Coturnix japonica: one gene and its partner. The protein of the gene in region 1 binds, or shares a complex with, the protein of each later gene. Links are inferred from orthologs where the notes say so. Each region holds a gene or a part of one and is shown in the gene's direction. Other genes may lie near its edges.

Evidence for each region.
Region 2: EIF3D (region 1) and EIF3L share a complex: the UniProt entries of both Homo sapiens proteins name them as parts of the eukaryotic translation initiation factor 3 (eIF-3) complex. The link is inferred for Coturnix japonica from reciprocal best matches to the Homo sapiens genes EIF3D and EIF3L.

Annotation. Positions count from the first base shown.
Region 1 is NC_029516.1:47,223,562-47,227,881, forward strand, and holds the start of EIF3D (eukaryotic translation initiation factor 3 subunit D), read left to right. Parts: upstream 1-1,332; 5' UTR 1,333-1,450; intron 1,451-1,675; 5' UTR 1,676-1,686; coding exon 1,687-1,809; intron 1,810-2,892; coding exon 2,893-2,938; intron 2,939-3,328; coding exon 3,329-3,465; intron 3,466-3,567; coding exon 3,568-3,653; intron 3,654-4,112; coding exon 4,113-4,185; intron 4,186-4,320. UniProt on the Homo sapiens protein: mRNA cap-binding component of the eukaryotic translation initiation factor 3 (eIF-3) complex, a complex required for several steps in the initiation of protein synthesis of a specialized repertoire of mRNAs.
Region 2 is NC_029516.1:46,630,478-46,634,983, reverse strand, and holds the start of EIF3L (eukaryotic translation initiation factor 3 subunit L), read left to right. Parts: upstream 1-1,442; 5' UTR 1,443-1,534; coding exon 1,535-1,567; intron 1,568-1,660; coding exon 1,661-1,709; intron 1,710-1,786; coding exon 1,787-1,997; intron 1,998-2,643; coding exon 2,644-2,723; intron 2,724-2,996; coding exon 2,997-3,058; intron 3,059-4,363; coding exon 4,364-4,433; intron 4,434-4,506. Other genes in the region: ANKRD54 (ankyrin repeat domain-containing protein 54), read right to left, coding at 1-3, 209-307, 969-1,016, 1,099-1,306. UniProt on the Homo sapiens protein: Component of the eukaryotic translation initiation factor 3 (eIF-3) complex, which is required for several steps in the initiation of protein synthesis.

The DNA of each region.
Region 1 (4,320 bases):
GAGCTGACACCAGCACAGCCCTGAGTGCAGCCCAGGACAGGAGGTGAGCTGGGCAGGGTCTGGTGCCAAGTAAGCGTGAGCCAAAGCCACCCTGTCCCCTCTTCCAGTAAATCCCACTTAAATGGGGGAACAAATCTCACCTTCCTCAAGGCTGGATTTTTCTTGCAGCTGAAGTTTCTCCTCTTGATAAGAAACCGGTAGGTTATGATGTGCCTAAAAGAGCATTTGTTCTCTGATGGCCATTCCCTGTGCTTGCTTTCCCCTCTGAGACACACTAATACCCAGCTCCATTCCCAGACGAGGCAGCCTGAGGGGCTGGGCCCGAAGTGCCAGCACTCTTCAGCAGGCAGCAGCAGCGCTACACTTGCCTTTCAGCACCTCACACAGGACTGTAAGGGAACAGGCAAGCAGGGGGAATGCAGAGTCTAGGTTTATCAGTCTAGTTGTTTTCTCTTTCTTCATTCCGTTTGCTCTTTGGGACTTCCTTTTACGTTTCCTAAGCATGACTTGAACGTGGCTATGCTCAGGTTGAGTCTGTGATATCCAGGGCTGTTCCAGCACTGACGTTTGTCACCACAAAGGCTGTTTGCCTGTGAGAGTTACAAATGGTATTTTATAAACCGTGTTTCTGTAAGTGGATTTCTCTTTTTGCTAGCGGGGAAAACTGCTTTAATAATCCGACTTCTGATTAATGGCGCAGCCTCCTGGCAAAGCAGACTGCTTCGGTTATTTCTCGAGGAGGGTTTAAACGCAGTAAATAAAGGAGGAAATGCACGGTGCTCTGCCTGCAAAATATTGATCTAGACTCAGATGGTGCAAGATACCCAGGGACGTTCTGCAAACAGGTTGTGGTGAGGTGGGGGTCGGCCTCTGCTCACAGGTAACAGTTATAGGGTGAGAGGGAATGGCCTCAGGGGAGGGTCAGGTTGGATATGAGGAAAGATTGAGATATGAGGAAGGTGCTGCAGTGGCACAGGCTGCCCAGGCAGGTGGTGCAGTCACCGTCCCTGGAGGTGTTCAGAGCCGTGTGGATGTGGCACTGAGGGACGTGGTCATGGGGATGGTGGGGATGGGCTGATGGTTGGACCGGGTGATCCTAGAGGTCTTTTCCAGCCTTAATGATCCTATGTAAGGCACGCGACGAACCCACCCTGCCCCCTCCCTACCCCCCGGGTAAGTAAAAGCCGTGGTGACGTCACACCCCACCACGTACAGCCCGATGCCGGCGGTGACGTCACGGGGCGCATTGCGCCTAACGGGAGATCCGCGCTTTACGGCAGTCGCGCTCCGCCCCCTCGCTCTCTCTCTTTTACGACGGTGGTGCGCGGCGGCGCCGTCGCGCAGTGCTGACGCAATAAGGGCGGGACGGGGCTGCGCGCGGCCTTTCCTCGCCGGCCGTCGCCGCCGCTGTCGTATCCGTCGCCATCGGGGCCGTAACGCGGCCGCTCAGGTGAGGGGACGCCGCGGCCGCCCCGTCACGCTCCGCCGTCCTACCGGGACCGGCCCGCGGGCAGCGCGACCCCCGGCCCCGCCCAGGCGTTACCGCCGGTTCCGGTGGGGCCGGGCCGGCGCCCCCGCCTTCCTGCGCCCGCTCCGGGCTCCCTCGGTGCCCCTTCCCCTCACGGTGGCGCCGACGGGGCGGGTGCTGAAGGAACGTTCCGCTTGTTCCCCGCAGGGCTGTGAGCCATGGCGAAGTTCGTGACCCCCGTGATCCAGGACAACCCCTCGGGTTGGGGCCCGTGCGCCGTGCCCGAGCAGTTCAAGGATATGCCCTACCAGCCCTTCAGCAAGGGGGACCGCCTGGGCAAGGTACTGCGCTGTGTGGCTGCTGGGTGCACCCCTGTGCCTCTGCTGAGCTACCAGAGTGGGGAGCTGGGTTAGACGTTGGGAGGGGTCTCTTTTTTTGCTCGGCAGAGAAAGACCTGGGGGTCTTGGTGTGCGAAAGACTCAACATGAGCCAGCAGTGCGCTCTGGCAGCCCGGAAAGCAAATGGATCCTGGGCTCCATCAGGAGAGGTGGTCAGCAGGATAGGGAGATCGTCCTCTCTACTCTGCTTTGTGAGCCCATCTGGATACTGTGTCCAGGTGTGGAGCCCTCAGTACAAAAAACATGGAATTTTGGAAAGGGTCCAGAGGAGGCCACGAAGATGATCAGGGGCTGGAGCACTCCCCTATGAGGAACAGCTGAGGGAGTTGGTGTTCGCCTAGAGAAGAGAAGGTTGCGGGTGACCTCATTGCAGCCTTTCAGTACTGAAGGAACTACTCCCAGGAGGGAGTAAACTCTTCAAAAGGCTGATAATAGCAGGACTAGGGGAAATGGTTTTAAGTTGAAGGAGGGAAGATTAGGTTGGATTTTAGGGGAATCTTCACTAGGAAAGTGGTTAGGCCCTGGACACGGCTGCCCAGGGAGTTGTGAATGCCCGTCCTTGAGGTGTTCAGACCAGGTTGGACGGGCCCGCAACCTGATCTAGTAAGGTGTATGTTTGGCGCCTGCCAGGCAGGTTGGAACTACATGATCCTTGAGGTCCCTTCCAACCCGGGTCATTCTGTGATTCTTTGTTTAGAGGACGCTGAGGCGCTGGCACAGACTGCCCAGAGAGCTGTGGTGCCCATACACCTGCAGCTTAAAGCCGGTGAATGAGCTGGTGGGGGGCAGGATTTAGATATTCTTTAAGATTCCTTCCAACCTGAGCCATTCTGAGATATGACATTATATGGTTCTCCAGCACCTTGACAGTTGTGAGCATTCTGTGAGGCTTGCTTATGGAGGTGGGAGTTGAGGTGCATACAGCAGTCCCTTATTTTGCCTTTTGAGGCCCTACTGGGGGGGGGGACGACACACACATCATATTAACACTTGCTTTTTTTTTTTACTGTATATTTTTGTCCTTAGGTGGCAGATTGGACAGGAGCCACGTATCAGGATAAGAGATACACAAGTACGTGTTGTCCAATGGCTGTTCCTGCTATTTATTTTGTGCAAAGCTTACTTCAAACGTCATCCCTGCTTTCGTGTTTCCCACTGGCTCTACCGGCTACATACACACCTCAGCAGAGGAGGCTCTTTAATTTCAGAAGCGTGTCTCACCGCTTGGAGAGCTGCGTGGGGCTCTCCCTGCCCTTAGGGTTCCCTTGTGGGTTTGTTCCATGTGCTGACTGGTGCTTCTCTGGGAGGTTCAGAGCAGGGAGGCAATGTGACAGTCTAATGCAGGAGTCCTAGTTGATGCATTAGACTTGAGTAAAGGCTACTGAGGAAAACTGGGGGGGCGGGTGGAGTGTCATATTTTTGCTTCCAAGCTTCATAGCAAAATGATTTATTTTATTTCCAGACAAGTACTCATCACAGTTTGGTGGTGGAAGTCAATATGCGTATTTCCATGAGGAGGATGAGACCAGCTTCCAGTTGGTGGATACAGCCCGGACACAGAAAACTGCATACCAGAGGAATCGCATGCGATTTGCACAGGTAAAGCTTTACTTTCAGAAACAGGCTCAAAAAAAGAGATTGAGCAATACAGAATTACTTTGCCACTAATCTGTCCTTTTATTCTTTGCTGCATTCCCACAGAGGAACCTTCGGAGAGACAAGGACCGCCGGAACATGCTGCAGTTCAGCATGCAGACGCTGCCAAAGAGTGCCAAGCAGAAAGAGAGGTGCGGGCTTCACATACAAGCATTCTGTACTTGGAGTGTGTGAACATACTGTTAACGAGTAATTTAAGTTACTGTAACAGAACCCACCAAAGTTCCTAGCAAAGCATTTCAGGGTATTTTAATGTTTGCTGATGCGCCCAGTAGTTACAAGCATGGATTTCAGGCAGCTATTTAAGAATCTAGGAGATGTTTTGAGTCAAGTTTAGGAGGTAAGTGTGACAACTTAAAGCAGGATGTGCTCTTCCTGGAAACTGTGTTGTGGTCATTAAGGATAAAAACATATAAAGGGTGTTCAGAGTGCAGAACAAAGCTCTTAACACTTCAGTTGTTTGGATAGCCAAATTCTCAGCCTGCAAACGTTGTTCCTCTGGTGATTATTTGGAAGTGTGGGAGTCGTGGCAGGGAGCTTCTTGTGTTGAGAACTTGTTGTAATGGCTTTTCACCTATTTGTCATTGTAGGGATCGTTTGCGCCTCCAAAAGAAGTTTCAGAAGCAGTTTGGAGTGAGGCAGAAATGGGACCAGAAGTCACAGGTAAATTAGCCAGCTTCCTGACCCTGGTGATGGCTTAGTTTGTCTGTATGTGCTGATGTCTGTATGTCCTCGTGCACAAATCCTGATGTGCTATGTGTGTTTTCTCCCTTTACCCTTTTCACCTCTGGCCGCGCA
Region 2 (4,506 bases), about 590 kb from region 1:
GTACTGGAAGCAATAACACAGATACACGTTAATTCCTTTCCTCTGCCCCACTGACAGCACCTTAATGGCGTAAGAAAGGTCATTTAGCAGTGCGCTGCTGACCCACTAGTCCATGTGGCAGCTTGCAGGCTGCAGAAGGGATGTTTCTGTCCAGCTTATGCAGACAGTAAATGGAAAATGGATGACTGAAGATCCCCTTCCCACTCACCAATGTGATCATTGCCATTGCAGGAGGCAAAGTGCAGGGCTGTCCGGCCTTTGTCATCCGCAGCACAGGGGTCAGTTCCATCCTCCAGCAGTTGCTGCACTGGCAGTGCCAAGAAAGAAAAGGATGCAGGTAAGTTGAAGGGACACCTGATCAGAAAGGGGTGATGCTACCAGCTCTTCTGCAGGTAAGTATGGACCCTGCACAAGGTCAGAGCTCACAGATGAATGCATCCATCAGTTCATGAAACAAGGTGTACTGTAAAGCTGGAGGGTACAACATCACCCCATCCTGTAATGCCAGGGGTTGTTACAAATCCCGTCTATTTCCGATTGTTCACAACATGGTCTGATAACAGACAAAGGAGGAACCACGACAGGGGGCAAATGACATATGCCAGTATTGCTGATGAATGCTTAGGATCAAAACCCAGCTGATCTACAGTACATGGAAGTCAAGAGAGTCACAGAGCTGATGAGTGGGCAAAAGTTACGTACCAAAAAGCTGGAATAACAGCTGATTGCTAATCTAGCCTGAGGCAGCTGGACCCAATACAGTGAAAAAATCAATATAACAATCAGTCTCACTCTGCTCAGAGAACGGAACAAAAGGCTCAAGAGAAGCAACTTCTAGATCTTCAGCAACTAAAGGAAGATTCCTGCAAACTACCTGCACCTTCCTTCTCCTCGTCCTCTGCTGAAACAAAGAGCTTTGAACAAACTGCCTTTCCAGGAAGTGGCTTCACGTCAGGTTGAAGTCTCACCTGTGTCCAGGTCGTTGCCATTGGCAGCCTCACGCAGCCTCTTCAGGGCTGGGGAGGAAAGAAAGCCATTAGTGTGAAGCACGGAGGAGGAAGGGGGCAGGGGAGGAAGGGGGAACCCGCTCCCGCTCACCGTGGCTCTCCTTGCCCGTAGGCCCCAGGCGACGGTGGATGCGGGCGGCCCTGCGCAGGCGGCGGGCCGGGATCTTGCCGGCAGGTTCCTCTCGCTGCCACAGGACGTGCAGGTAGCCGAGGGAGGCTTCCCCCGCCGCCCCTCCCAGCGCCATCCCGGCTCCCAGAGCGGACTCCGACTCCGTCCCCGCAGCAGACTCGGCCTCCATTCCCTCACGGGCCGGGCCGGGCGGTACGGGGTGTGAGGGGAGGGGCGGGAAGGGTCGTCGCTGACATAGTGCAGACGGGCAGGCGGACTCTGCAATCAGAGAGAAAAGCCTCTGAAGACAAGCAGTTATTTTAACCAATAGAGAGACTAAACAAATTCGGCCGGCCTTCCGGAGCGTGCCGCTTGGTCCCACCTCCTCTTCCTGCCTGCCCAGGCCCCGCGCCGCGCCATGGCCTACCCGGGGGAGGACTACGACAACGATGTGCGAGCGGGGGGCGGGCTGCGGGGATGGGGGGGGGTTTGTGGGTCCGGTTCGTGCTCGTCGCGGTAACATCCCCGCATCGTGTCTTCACAGGCCGCCTACGACCCGTACGCCTACTCCAACGACTATGATATGCACACGGGTGAGTGCGCGGTGCGGGCCGCCCCGCGGGGTGGGGGCTGTAGGCCTCGGGCTTACAACCCGCCTCTTTCCCTTCAGGAGACCCGAAGCAGGATCTGGCCTACGAGCGGCAGTACGAGCAGCAGACGTACCAGGTGATCCCCGAGGTCATCAAGAACTTCATCCAGTACTTCCACAAGACCGTGTCCGACCTCATCGACCAGAAGGTGTACGAGCTGCAGGCCAGCCGAGTCTCCAGCGATGTCATTGACCAGAAGGTGTATGAGATCCAGGACATCTATGAGAACAGGTGCGGGGCTGTCCTTGCATTCTCACTGCTTAAAACCTCCCATACTTAAAGGCCCCGGGCCCCCGGTATGAGAAAGATGTAGAGCTGTTGGAGTGGGTCCAGGGGAAGGCCACCTCTGGAGTACCTCTTCTGTGAAGAAAGGATGGGAGCTGGGCTTGTTCAGCCTGGAGACCTCATTGCAGCCTTCCAGTACTTGAAGGGAGCTTACCCACAGGAGGGAACTCGGCTTTTTTACATGGGCAGATAGTGATAGGACAAGGGCAACAGTTGAAAACTAAAATTAGATGTGATAGTTTTTCACTGTGAGGCTGTTGAGGCATTGGAGCAGCCCAGAGAGGTTCTGGATGCCCAGTCCTTAGAAGTGTTCAAGGCCGGGTTGGATAGGACCCAGGGCAACTCAGTCTGGTAGCTGATTTAGTTGTCGGTAATACTGATGCAAACTAGATGATCTTTAAGGTTCTTTCCAACCCAAGCCATTCTATGGTCAGTTTTTTAACTGCTTTGTTTGCCATTCTAATTCCTTAGTAACACCAGTTTTGAAGGGAGACAGTGTCCTATCAAGTCCAAGCCCTTTGTACTGTGGTTTCTAACTGCAGCTCTGTGATGCTCAGGGATGTTTTCTCATACCCCACGTCTTATCTTTCAGCTGGACAAAGCTAACAGAAAGGTTTTTCAAGAACACCCCATGGCCAGAGGCAGAGGCCATTGCCCCACAGGTTGGAAATGGTAAGCATTTCTTTTCCACTCTGTTTTCCTTACAGGAGAATGAAGGAACTAAATTACTTTTGATGTGTTAGGGAGCTGGCATGTGGTTTTTATGAATCACTCATCTTTGCTATGGCAGCTCCTTCTGTAGATGCCTATCAGAAAGTCAGATGAATGAGCATCCTCTTTTACTTGTCCTTGTAACTGTGGCAGTAGGAACATCACCGGTGCCTCAGAGATCCAGTTGCCTAAGCTTCATGGTTTGCTGATATCCAGTTCTCTCATCTCTTCCAGATGCAGTTTTCCTCATCCTGTACAAGGAGCTGTATTATAGGCATATCTACGCCAAAGTCAGCGTGAGTATTTGCTCTGTGTCTTTTAGTTGCGCTTGGTTCTTCTGCCATCAAAGTGAACAAGTTGCACTGCTGTTAAAGCATCAGTGGTTCCAAAGTTTTGCAAAACAATATTGAATAGATTTAGGAGGTATGGGTCGAGTTAGAAATAGCTGAATTTTCTCTCTGTTAGAGCTGTATAACTGCATGACTTACAGGTCAGTTTTGTGTGTTTCTTCATGACTCTTTATTTCTTCTTCAGGCTAGCAGGTGTATGAGGGGGTGTCACAAGAGGAGTTTGAGTTACTTGTAATTGAAAGACCATACGGGGTCAGAGTGTTTTGTGGATAGGAAGAAACTGGCACCACAGAGGATACAGGAGAAGAAGACAGAAGGAATAATGGTCTATTAAAAAAACAACAACAACAAACCATGCTTCTTTCCCTTAAAAAGGCTAATTTGAAGTCAGTAGGAAAATCAGAGTAGTTCTTGGCTGTAAGAAAGAAGCAGGACAGGTGTGTGACTTACATGGTGAATGAGTAATAATTGCAGTTTTGGTTTGGACCACAGGGTGGAGAAATGGGTTAATGCAGGAGTCTTTTTGAAGTTCCTAAATCAAAGACTTGCCTGAACAGGTGAAACTGGTTGCTTGAGTTATTTTGTAGGAGGTTCCCAAGCTGCCCATGGGGTGTCTACAGGTGACACAAGATAATTCTAGGAAGAGTGATTCCCTCCTGTGTTTATCGGTCTTCTAGAGCATTTAAAACTTATTCTTTATGCAGAGGGCGGTGAGGCACTGGCACTGCTGCCCAGAGAGCTGTGGGTGCCCCATCCCTGGAGGTTCAAGGCTAGGTTGGATGGGGGCTGAACTGGTGGCCCTGTCCACAGCAGGGTCCCTTCCAAGCTATTCTATGATTCTTTGGTATGATTGTCTAGAAGCAGCTGTGTTGTTGGGATTTACAAAGACCTTCCTTGAGGGGAAGAGGACAAAAAGCTGTGTAGGTTAATAGGCAGTTCTTAGGTCTGGACAGCACAGAGGAGGAAAAGGAGACTTAAAGTATTCTATTCACATGAGACTTCATCACTTAGTTGTACTAGAAGCTACCTGGACTTGAAAAGGCAGCCTTCTTCTACTGGACAACAGTGAGACAATTTAATTTGTTCTGGGTGATGTTAGTGATTGGTGGGTGGTTGAATATCAGCTCTAATGTCACCAAAACAGATCTATTGCCTTGACTGTTGGCTGTCCTTTGTAGGCTATTGCCCATAAAGGACCATTAGTTTTGCTGTACTTCAGACTAAATGGACTGTAATGTCTTCTCGCTGCAGGGGGGGCCCACTCTGGAGCAGAGATTTGAATCTTACTACAACTACTGCAATCTTTTCAACTACATCCTCAGTGAGTTGCTGCAATTAATCATTGGTTTGTGACTTTTGGAGAAGACCGAATGCAGAGGATTAAGGCAGAGAAA